3 linked regions of the Rattus norvegicus genome follow. The protein of the gene in region 1 purifies or fractionates together with the protein of each later gene. This does not show direct contact. Links are inferred from orthologs where the notes say so. Each region holds a gene or a part of one and is shown in the gene's direction. Other genes may lie near its edges. The genes, in order: Ago1, Tarbp2 and Stub1.

Evidence for each region.
Region 2: the proteins of Ago1 (region 1) and Tarbp2 purify together in Homo sapiens (co-immunoprecipitation; 4 studies listed by BioGRID and IntAct, with this or other methods). This does not show direct contact. The link is inferred for Rattus norvegicus from reciprocal best matches to the Homo sapiens genes AGO1 and TARBP2.
Region 3: the proteins of Ago1 (region 1) and Stub1 purify together in Homo sapiens (affinity purification with mass spectrometry; 3 studies listed by BioGRID and IntAct, with this or other methods). This does not show direct contact. The link is inferred for Rattus norvegicus from reciprocal best matches to the Homo sapiens genes AGO1 and STUB1.

The regions. Positions count from the first base shown.
Region 1 is NC_086023.1:144,035,067-144,038,715, reverse strand, and holds part of Ago1 (protein argonaute-1), read left to right. Parts: intron 1-2,111; coding exon 2,112-2,295; intron 2,296-3,649.
Region 2 is NC_086025.1:135,530,648-135,533,413, forward strand, and holds the end of Tarbp2 (RISC-loading complex subunit TARBP2), read left to right. Parts: intron 1-300; coding exon 301-373; intron 374-562; coding exon 563-680; intron 681-1,002; coding exon 1,003-1,130; coding exon of another isoform or gene 1,131-1,134; intron 1,135-1,420; coding exon 1,421-1,622; intron 1,623-1,750; coding exon 1,751-1,908; 3' UTR 1,909-2,179; downstream 2,180-2,766. Other genes in the region: Npff (pro-FMRFamide-related neuropeptide FF preproprotein), read right to left, coding at 2,488-2,590, 2,693-2,766. UniProt on the Homo sapiens protein: Required for formation of the RNA induced silencing complex (RISC). Component of the RISC loading complex (RLC), also known as the micro-RNA (miRNA) loading complex (miRLC), which is composed of DICER1, AGO2 and TARBP2.
Region 3 is NC_086028.1:15,355,141-15,358,889, reverse strand, and holds Stub1 (E3 ubiquitin-protein ligase CHIP), read left to right. Parts: upstream 1-1,330; 5' UTR 1,331-1,433; coding exon 1,434-1,595; intron 1,596-2,016; coding exon 2,017-2,215; intron 2,216-2,298; coding exon 2,299-2,464; intron 2,465-2,497; exon of another isoform or gene 2,498-2,629; coding exon 2,630-2,717; exon of another isoform or gene 2,718-2,900; coding exon 2,901-2,957; exon of another isoform or gene 2,958-3,043; coding exon 3,044-3,160; exon of another isoform or gene 3,161-3,238; coding exon 3,239-3,364; 3' UTR 3,365-3,612; downstream 3,613-3,749. Other genes in the region: Jmjd8 (jmjC domain-containing protein 8), read right to left, coding at 3,657-3,737. UniProt on the Homo sapiens protein: E3 ubiquitin-protein ligase which targets misfolded chaperone substrates towards proteasomal degradation.

The DNA.
Region 1 (3,649 bases):
GCCGTCTGTCCCTGTCTGGGTCTGAGGGGAAGTGTCTTCCTTTCTCAGACTAAAAGCTGGGGGCAGGGCGAGGTTGGGGAGGAGAGACTGTACAGCTGTGGCGCTTTCCTGGGGATAGATAGAATGGCAAAGAGGTAGTTGTTTCCCCCTGCCTCCTTCCCTAGTTTGGGGATGAAGTGGAGAGATGTTCTCCATTTTCTCTGAACCCTGACCAGGAGCGTGCTCTCAGGCACTGGTGTGCTGTCCAGCTCTGGGATGGTGAGAGCTCCAAGGGGAGTGTCTGTCTCACCTCATCCCTGTAATTTCTGCTTTGCCCTTGGTTCTTCTAGAGGGATGTCTCTCAGAATTTCAACTGATTATTCAGACTAGGAGGCAAAAAGTGAATGGAATCCTAAAACTTGGGAAAGGGAAAGATATATCTGAAAAGGGACAAATGCTTCTGCACAGAGTTTGTGTTTGTTTGGGACAGTTGCAAGCATGGTTGTGTGGTTGTGCACTCTTGTGGTGTGCCTATCGGTTTGTTTGTTCATTTATGTGATATGAGCATATGAAGTACCTGTCTTTATGCCCGGCACTAGCTTGAGCTGTGATTAAGTCAAGTATGGTCCCTTCTTTTGAAACACTGAGTCCTCACTGATGGTGAAGAGCGTATGTAGAACGGTAAGCTTTAGAGCGCTTGCATGTGAGAGGGGTGCGTGTTTGTCAGTGGGGCTCGTATGCAGTATCCATTCAGCCCTTTCTGGGATAGGTGGGACTAGTTTATTAGTTCCCTTGTAGCTGAGTTCTGAGGGACTTGGTATTTTCCTCTGCAGAAAGGGGCTGGGGCTGATTTGACAGGTGGTTTAGAGGGAGTCAAGTCCTTCAGCTTTGGAAGGTGTGCACCTCCCACAAATGACCCACCTCTTCCTGACCCCCCTGCCTAAGATATGCTCCATACCCTCCCACCCCTGTCCCATCCCCCAGTCCTGTGTGTCTATGAAAGCAGAGCTCTGGTAAAGAGGGCGTTTGTCCCTCTTCCACCTATGCTGGTCCTCTCTCTGCTGGAAAGAACAATAGTAGCAGAGGACAAAGGCTCTACTTAGTGTACACACACACACACACACACACACACACACACACACACACACACACACACACACACGGAGTAGGAGAGGGAGACTGAGGAGCAGTCATGCTGGCCTATCCTAGCCCTTCCTTCCCCAAGGGCCCCTTCTGTTCTGAAATCGATCCTTTCTGCCGTCTGGACCCTCCCTCAGTGTGGAAAGATTTGTGAAGAATGGAAAGTGTCTTATATTCCCTTTCTGACCTGGTGTCTCCCCTCTTACTGTTCTTCCTCCTTCCCGAGCCTTTAGCTTTCTTCATGTGAGCTTTTATTTTCTTCCGTTTCTTCATTCTGCATCTTGATAGTTTTTTCTCTGTACCCCAACCTTGCCCTACCTGTACCCTTCCTTCCCTCCTTTTTCTACCCAATTCAAGGCATTTTCTCTTGTGACCTCCAGATCCGACCTTCTCCCCGCCCTGGCAGCCTCTTCTTAGCCTGCAGATGCTGTCCTTCTACCCTTTTCTTTCTGTCTCCCCAGAGCCAGCATTCCCTGTCTCAGTCCTGTCTCAGGCCCTGCCCTTCCCAGCCTGCCTTTCTTGAGGTTGTTCACCTGTCCACATTAACAGAGGATATCATCCCAAAGTTCTGGTGCCGTTTTGTGTTCTGGATGCTAATGAGTGAAATGAGCTTCTCGAGTAGCACAGAATCAATCGATCGTTCTTAAACTGGCATATACCTACCTGGTAGAGACAGGTGTCTCAATCTAGTAGAGATGGAGGAAAGCGTTGTGAACTAGGAACTTAGCTACTTTTCTTGAACTCATTACACATTTACTTGTTGAAGTTGTAGACACACATTTTCCTAACTGAAGAAAGGTTTAAAACAAAAATAAAAGTAAAATAAGCCATTGGAAAATCCAGTGAGCCTGGGAATGTCCAAGCTGGTGGAAGCCCCTGCTGGGTGAGGAAAGAGGAACGAGACCCACGGTCTTGGTCTGAGAGGCCTTGTCTGATCACAGCAGTTAGAAGATGGCCAGACTCTGTCCTCACTGGCTTCTTTGTCTTCACAGCTGCAGGTGCCTACCTGCCTCCCCTGCAGCAGGTGTTCCAGGCCCCTCGCCGGCCTGGCATCGGCACTGTGGGCAAACCGATCAAGCTTCTGGCCAATTACTTTGAGGTGGACATTCCTAAGATTGACGTCTACCATTACGAGGTGGACATCAAGCCGGATAAGTGTCCTCGCAGAGTCAACCGGTAAGTGATGACTGTGGGTGGCACCGAGTCCAATTTATTAAACAGGGAAAGAGGAAACATGTCGGCCGGAGAACTCTGTAAGAACAGAGCACATTCTAGCACTTGCTGAGATAGGTGACTCCAGAGATTTTAAGAATGAGACTTAGGTAAGGAGCCCGGTAGAGAAGGAGAAGTTAAAAGGCAAGGCTAAAATGGCGGGGGTAAGAGCAAGATGGATGGTGTTCTTGCTTGCAGGGGATGTTCCGGGATGCATATTTGGAGAGATTAATCGTAGAAGAAGCAGATTAAATTGGTTTATTATTACTGGAAAACCATATTCACAATTAAAAACTAGGAATTTTTTTCAACAGTCTTGAGTGTATTTTCAGATATTTTTCTGTGTATACATTCATTATAATATGGACATGAATATATAATACATTTATAGTAATATATTCCCATCAATTACTGTTATTACTTATTAATTATATTAATAACCATATATAATATTACATTATTACATATTATTGTATATGCGTATACACAAACATGTGCATACATATACACATTGGTTTTATACAAGTATTACATATAATACAATATATGTGCATTAATATGTGTATATATGTAATGTATGAGCATATATAATAATAATGTAAGATTCTATATACTTTGTTCAATATTGTCCATTTTTCTGTTTAACCATATATTTTGGAAAATAGTATATATTAGTATATATAAATCTGCCTTATTCTTTTGTGTAGAGCCCTAGATAGTCCTTGAAATGACCACATAATTTGCTTGATCTATTGTGGGATATTTAGGTAGAGTCTAAACTTTGCAACAAGATTGAAACTGTTAAGTATTATATAAAGATACATATTTTCACAGATGTGTGAGTGTATCTGTAAGATAGAAGTCCTAGGAGTGGAATGACTGCCACAAGGCAGTTTAAATTGAGACATTGTCCATTCCTGAGGCAGTGTCAGAAGAACTCAGGAGTAAGACAGAGGAAAAGATGATACAGGAGAGAAAACAGTGGTAAAACTTCCAAGAGCTGGAGAAAGGACTCCTACCCTGTATTTTATTATTTCTAGGCCAGTTCAGATCCGTTCCTTTCTTTCCTTTCCGTCTTTGTTTGGCAGACAGGATAGACCTGGGAACAGGCCCTTCCCCTTCAGAAGGTCTGTGGAGGTCTCATGATCTGAGGACCAACAGTATTACTGTAGGATTTTGGAAGTGTGGGTTCTAAGTGTGGGTTCAAATCAGAAGATGACTTTAATGAAACCTGATGATTCATAGGAATGTTGGAAGCTTGAGGTGTATTGCCACGGAGTAGACCTTAAACATGAGTGTGGTACACGGGATGTTGCCT
Region 2 (2,766 bases), on another chromosome or scaffold:
TTGTTTAAACATCTTACAGGCTCCTTGTTTGAGACCCAAAAGGTACTCCAGGACCGGCTGTACTGCTCCTTTACCTCTGTCACAGGGATTTTACTGAAGTATTTCCACATCTAAATGCTACTAGGAAGTAGCGAGCCTCACTTGGTGGAGACTGGGGAGGGAGGAGCAAGGCTAGATGTTTGGACAGATAGCTGCCTGCCTGGTGAAGAATTGGGAGGTGGCAGTGGCTGGCACTTCATCCTTGTCCAGGACAGAAGGAACCGTTTTCCTCAGCGTTGGTCTGGGCCGTTTTTCCTTTAGGAGCCCTCCCATGGAGATGCAGCCCCCTGTCTCTCCTCAGCAGTCTGAGTGCAACCCTGTTGGTGCTCTGCAGGTGTGCCTCATCTTCATTGTCGTGTGTGCTGTCTTCTCTGAACTAGGGCCCTGAGGCAGGGATGTGCGCCCTCGTGGGTGGGGTGGTCCTCCTTCTCATTCAGAGGCTGAGGCTCTTGGTAGAAAGCCACTCGGGTAAGGAACCTTTCTTTCCCCATTAAACCTTGGACTCTTCTGTTTTTCTCTCAAGGAGCTGGTGGTGCAGAAAGGCTGGCGTTTGCCAGAGTACATGGTGACCCAGGAGTCTGGGCCTGCTCACCGCAAAGAGTTCACCATGACCTGCCGGGTGGAGCGTTTCATTGAGATTGGTAACTGGGGAAAAGGGGGTTCACTCACCTTCTCTCCGCCACACTATAGCCCCACACAAGGTGGCTCTTTGCCTGGCTGTGCTCTGTCCCAACTTTCTTTGCTTTGCAGCTCCTTGCTCAGTTCTTCCCTCCCTGTCTCTTCCTTGTCCCTGCCCATCTTTCCCCTCTTTTCTGGCTCATCAACTCCTCAGTGAAAACGAACAGGCCTTGAGCTCCTCTTTGCAGTTATCCCATAAGGGGACCTTCTATCCAAGTTAACTTAGAGGGAAAGCATTGGTCTGTTAGGAATCCCCAAATCGAACAATTCCTTCCCTATCCTCAGGCAGTGGGACCTCCAAGAAGCTGGCAAAGCGCAACGCGGCAGCTAAGATGCTGCTTCGAGTGCACACGGTACCTCTGGATGCCCGCGACGGCAACGAGGCTGAACCTGATGACGATCATTTTTCCATTGTAAGTGGCTTGTGTGGGCTCGCCATGTGGTTCACACTGCAGGACGTGGTGTGGAATTGGGTTGGGTCTGTGATTTGGAAGTGAGTTGGACCTGCTTCTCTACCAAACCCAGGGCTCTTTGAACCTGTGACACCTAGCAGTCCCCTCAGCCTATGTGTAGGGTCACTAGGGAAAGCTGGCCTAGGGCAAAGGCCCTGTAGCAACTTTTCCTGGGATGAGGAAGCCTGCCAGGGGTCAGAGTATGCCCTGTTCTTGGGTTCTTAGCTGCATTCTCACCCTTATCTCATTAGGGCGTGAGCTCCCGCCTGGATGGACTAAGGAACCGTGGGCCAGGCTGCACCTGGGATTCCTTACGGAATTCTGTGGGAGAAAAGATCCTGTCCCTTCGCAATTGCTCCGTGGGCTCTCTGGGGTCTTTGGGCTCTGCCTGCTGCAGCATCCTCAGTGAGCTCTCTGCGGAGCAGGCTTTCCATGTCAGCTATCTGGATATTGGTATGGCCAGCCAGGGACTGGGGATGGAGGGGACTGGATCAGAGCAAGTATAAAGGAGTTGGGAGATGGGTGATGTACACTGCTTGGTGCCCCTCCCCACCAGTGCCTCCCTCTTTTTTGGCTTCCAGAGGAACTGAGCCTGAGTGGGCTCTGCCAGTGTCTAGTGGAGCTGTCCACGCAGCCAGCCACTGTGTGTTATGGTTCTGCCACTACCAGGGAGGCAGCCCGAGGTGATGCTGCTCGCCGCGCACTACAGTACCTCAGGATCATGGCCGGTAGCAAATAGCACCCACTACAGTGATGGATATCTGTTACTTCTTGCTCCTTCTGCCCTGGGTCTATGCGTCTGCCTAGCTCTGGTGCCCTCCAGAGGTGCCATCTCTACCTCTGACACAGCTTGCCTGCCTTGAGACTGAGGAAGGCAAAGGCAAGCAAGGAGCCATGAACCACAGGGCCCCAGCCAGCGCAGGGTTTGCCCTCATTCCATGGATGATGAATGAAAGGAAATTGGAATTCTATTGGAATCCAGAATAAATGCTGCTCTTTGGCTTCTTAAACCCTGTGTTCTCTGGCCCTGGGTCATGAGGGTGTCAAAGGAATACACAGTGTTTGTTCTCCTTCTGAACCCCATTCTTTTTGCTACAGGCAGGAGGCAAGGTGCAGTAGCCTTGGGGACCCTCCAGCAGAATGGCTGGAGACTGATTGAGTGGAGGTAAAGGAGGCTATAACTATTGCTCTTGGGCTCCCACCCGTTCCCTGAGAGTCTTGTCCAAACACAGATGCAGAAGCCAGACCACTTTATTTGGGGGCACACATGGAATGTGGGGAAGTGATTTTGCATGCAGACATATCACAGCAGATGATGTTACTTCTTCCCAAAGCGCTGAGGAGCGGCCAGGCTCCAGAACTCTCTAGCCTGGGGACTTAGCTGCTCCTTGCTCCAGGGCCCCCAAGCATTTCTGCCAAACCTTAGGAGAGATTCATCTTTAGTCGGCACTCCCTGTATCTCACCTTCCCTCACATCTTCCTCTGCCCTCCTCCCTTCCCAGCCTCTGCCTTTTGGAACTCACCTCTGGGGCTGAAACAAGAAGGCTGGGTTCCTTCTAGGTCTCTCCATGGCCTGGAGCAGAACACGCATGAGGGA
Region 3 (3,749 bases), on another chromosome or scaffold:
CAGGGACGGAATCCACAGGAGGTGGGGCCCCTGGGAAGAGACTGTGGACTTCCGGGTCAGTCCAAGTTCAGCAGTCGTTTATTGTGCTCCAAGAGCTTCCAATCCCGGTTCTTGCAGCCTCCCTTCCAAAGGCAAGCCCGAGACAGAGCCAGGTTCACTTGGCCTGGGTCCTGTAATTCTTGGCAGGTCTATAGTCCTTATGGGAGAACCAGTTGGGGTGAAGTTCAGGCAGCAGGTCTGGGCATACATCTGCCCATAGTCCAAGTTTGCAGTGCTCTCTTCACAAGATGAAGCGTCTACAGACAGCTCTAAGGCACTAGAGATCTACAAGAGTTCTGGGGTCGAGTTACTAACCATCGGAACCATGATGGGGTCCTGGGTGACCCCTCAGGCCCCTGCTCAGAAATGCAGTGAGCTCTTGCACCTGGGCTAGAAACAGCAAGTAGTACTTGAGTGTATGCTGCAGCGTTAGCAAGCCAGGAACTGTAGCCACTGCAAAGAGTGACAAGGAGGTTCTGGGGACATTTTTTTTTTGAGTTCCTAGAGCCCCCACCCAACTTGTGCAAAGATGCTCCCTACTCACTCGAGGCAGTGGCAGAAACCACGCAGCGAAGTTTGACTGCGGCGCACAGATCGGCAGAAAGCCGAGTTTTGCTTCTCCAAGTCCCGGGTGGGGGATGTTAGCGGCCAACAGCTGATGCAGCAGCGGCTAAAAATGCCTCATCTACAGACCTGGGGTCAAAGGGTCTTGGTGCAGGCTCTCTCCACGGAAACCTGCTGGCACCGCCCTTGAAGAAGCTCCGCCCCATGACCGCAGAAGGGGAGCGTCCAGCCGCGGACCCGCAGCTACCTCTATAGCAACCGCAGCAGGTCCTTTCGAGTCAACGCGTCACGTGCTTGTTTCTCAGCCAGTAATGGCCGCAGGCAGCTTCTCCCGATTCCCGAGGAAGCCTCTCGAGGGTGGTCTGACCTGCGGGCCTCTCTCCTTCCCTCAATTCCGCCGTCCTACCAGCGGTCTAGACGTTCCCAGGCTGCCGCATGAGCCCGCGTGCGCCCCGGTGGCGCGCTAGGACCTGGGCCTAGTGACCGGCCCTCGGAGCGCCACTTCTCCAGCACGGACCGCTGCCACGTTCGCGTGGCGTGGGCCGGAGGGTGGGGCTTGACTGCCAATGGGCGGAGCCTTGGTCTGAATATTGAGGGTAGGTCCTAGTTACTGTAGGGCGGGGCCGGTAGAGAGCGCAGCGGTAGCTTCTCCGGGCTAAGCGAACCCGCTCAATCCGCGAGGCTCCGCCTTTGCTCACGTGTCCCCATGCCAGCCCCGCCCCACACCGGAAGTTCCGGTGGCGGATCGCCGACCGGGCGGAGCTGATAGCTGCGCGGGCTGCGAGATCTAGGTGGCCGGGCGCGGAGCCCAAGCCGTGCCGCGCGGCGCCATGAAGGGCAAGGAGGAAAAGGAGGGCGGCGCGCGGCTGGGCACTGGTGGCGGCGGCAGCCCTGATAAGAGCCCGAGTGCGCAAGAGCTCAAGGAGCAGGGAAACCGGCTCTTCGTGGGCCGCAAGTACCCGGAGGCGGCGGCCTGCTACGGCCGCGCCATCGTGAGTGCGGGGGGCGGGGGCGGGGGCGGGGCCCGATGTGCCTCCCAGTTCTGTGATTCCCGGACGATTTCTGGCAGCCTAGACCCGGATTGCTGTTCCCGAATCCAGGGCAGATTGACTGGGGACTGGCGGGCGGGATGCTTGATTGAGGCAAGCTAAGGATGACACCAGAAATTCTTGCCCCTTGAGGCTCCCAAGCCTAAAGCTGGTGGAGGGGTTCTGGGATTTTTCTCAAAAACAGTTGGAGGCAAGAGAGCATGGCTAGAATCCAGAGCTCTGATAACTCGGAAATCTCCAGTTCCTCTCTTCCACCCATGGGCCCCCAATGCTGGAGAATTGTCCGGATCATTGGCTTTCAGCTTGCTATTAGAGAGGGGATCAGATGAGCCCACATTCTTTGTCACCTGATCTTGGTTCCCAGACCCGGAACCCACTTGTGGCAGTGTACTACACCAACCGGGCCCTGTGCTATCTGAAGATGCAGCAGCCTGAACAGGCACTTGCTGACTGCCGGAGAGCCCTGGAGCTGGATGGGCAGTCTGTGAAGGCGCACTTCTTCCTGGGGCAGTGCCAGCTAGAGATGGAGAGTTATGATGAGGCCATTGCCAATCTGCAGCGAGGTGGGCTGACAAGATGCCAGATTGTGGGCACCTTTGGGGCCAGGATTGTTGACAAGTGTAACCTAAAGTGTCCACTCCCCCAGCCTATAGTTTGGCCAAGGAGCAGCGACTCAACTTTGGGGATGATATTCCTAGTGCCCTTCGCATTGCTAAGAAGAAGCGCTGGAACAGTATCGAGGAACGGCGCATCCACCAGGAGAGTGAGCTGCACTCCTATCTCACCAGGCTCATTGCTGCTGAGCGAGAGAGGTGGGTCCCGCCCCCAACAGTTAACACCGAGTCAACAGTGCAAGTGTTTATTAAAGGACAGCAGCCGGTACATGGGAAGCCCGGGAGGAAAGAGGCCTGAGATGGGAAGGGATCTGTCATTTCCCTGTTGGGGCCATCACCAGCTGGCTTTTTCTTGACCCTCAGGGAACTGGAAGAGTGTCAGCGGAACCACGAGGGTGATGAGGATGATGGCCACATCAGGGCCCAGCAGGCCTGCATTGAGGCCAAGCACGTGAGGGTGCCCCTAGTCCACATGTGGGTCGTTGTGTGTGTGTTTTTGTGTGTGGCATGAGAAGTGCCCCAGCCTATGGTGGCTCTGTTGGCCCATGCATGACATGAGTGCCCCGGTGGACAGAGTGTGTGTGTCTGTGTGGAGGAGACAGGAGTTGCCCACACATGGCGCTCAACTCTGCAGGATAAATACATGGCGGACATGAATGAGCTCTTCTCTCAGGTGGATGAGAAAAGAAAGGTAAGGACGGAGCCTTGAAGCTCATGGGCAGGCTCTGGTATGGTGACTTCCTTTCCAGTTGCAGACATTTCCCTCTTGTGCTGCAGAAGCGAGATATCCCTGACTACTTGTGTGGCAAGATCAGCTTTGAGCTGATGCGGGAACCCTGCATTACACCCAGTGGCATCACCTATGACCGCAAGGACATTGAGGAGCACCTGCAGGTAAGGAGGGCCTGTGGTCTCGGGACTGGGATCAGGGGACACTCAGGCCATTGAATACTCTTGACTCTGTCGTTGCAGCGCGTGGGCCATTTCGATCCTGTGACCCGGAGCCCTCTGACCCAGGAACAGCTCATCCCCAACTTAGCCATGAAGGAAGTCATTGATGCTTTCATCTCTGAGAATGGCTGGGTAGAGGACTACTGATACCCCATGTCCTGCCTGGCACCCTGGCCCAGGAGGGTCTGGAGGCAGAAGCTCCAGTCCCTGTATATAGTTTGTGTCCCTGGGCCTGCCCCCATCGGTCCTGATGATGGGTTCTGAACTGCTCCCCTTCTCAGCATATCCCTTGCTGGGCCATGAGCCTCCCTTGTCTCCCTTCTGGGCTGGAGAGCTGGTGAGGGTGGGTTGCTGCTGCTGCTGCCACTGTCCTGTAATAAAGTCTGTGAGCACTACATTGGCATGTGCTGGTGCAGTGGGCTTGCCAGTCGCTTGTTGGCTAGCCAAGGAAAGTGGATATGAAGACACTGGTGTCCAGATTGAGTGTGGCATGCCACCACCGATCAGGAAAGTACAGCGCCTGGGAGAAGGG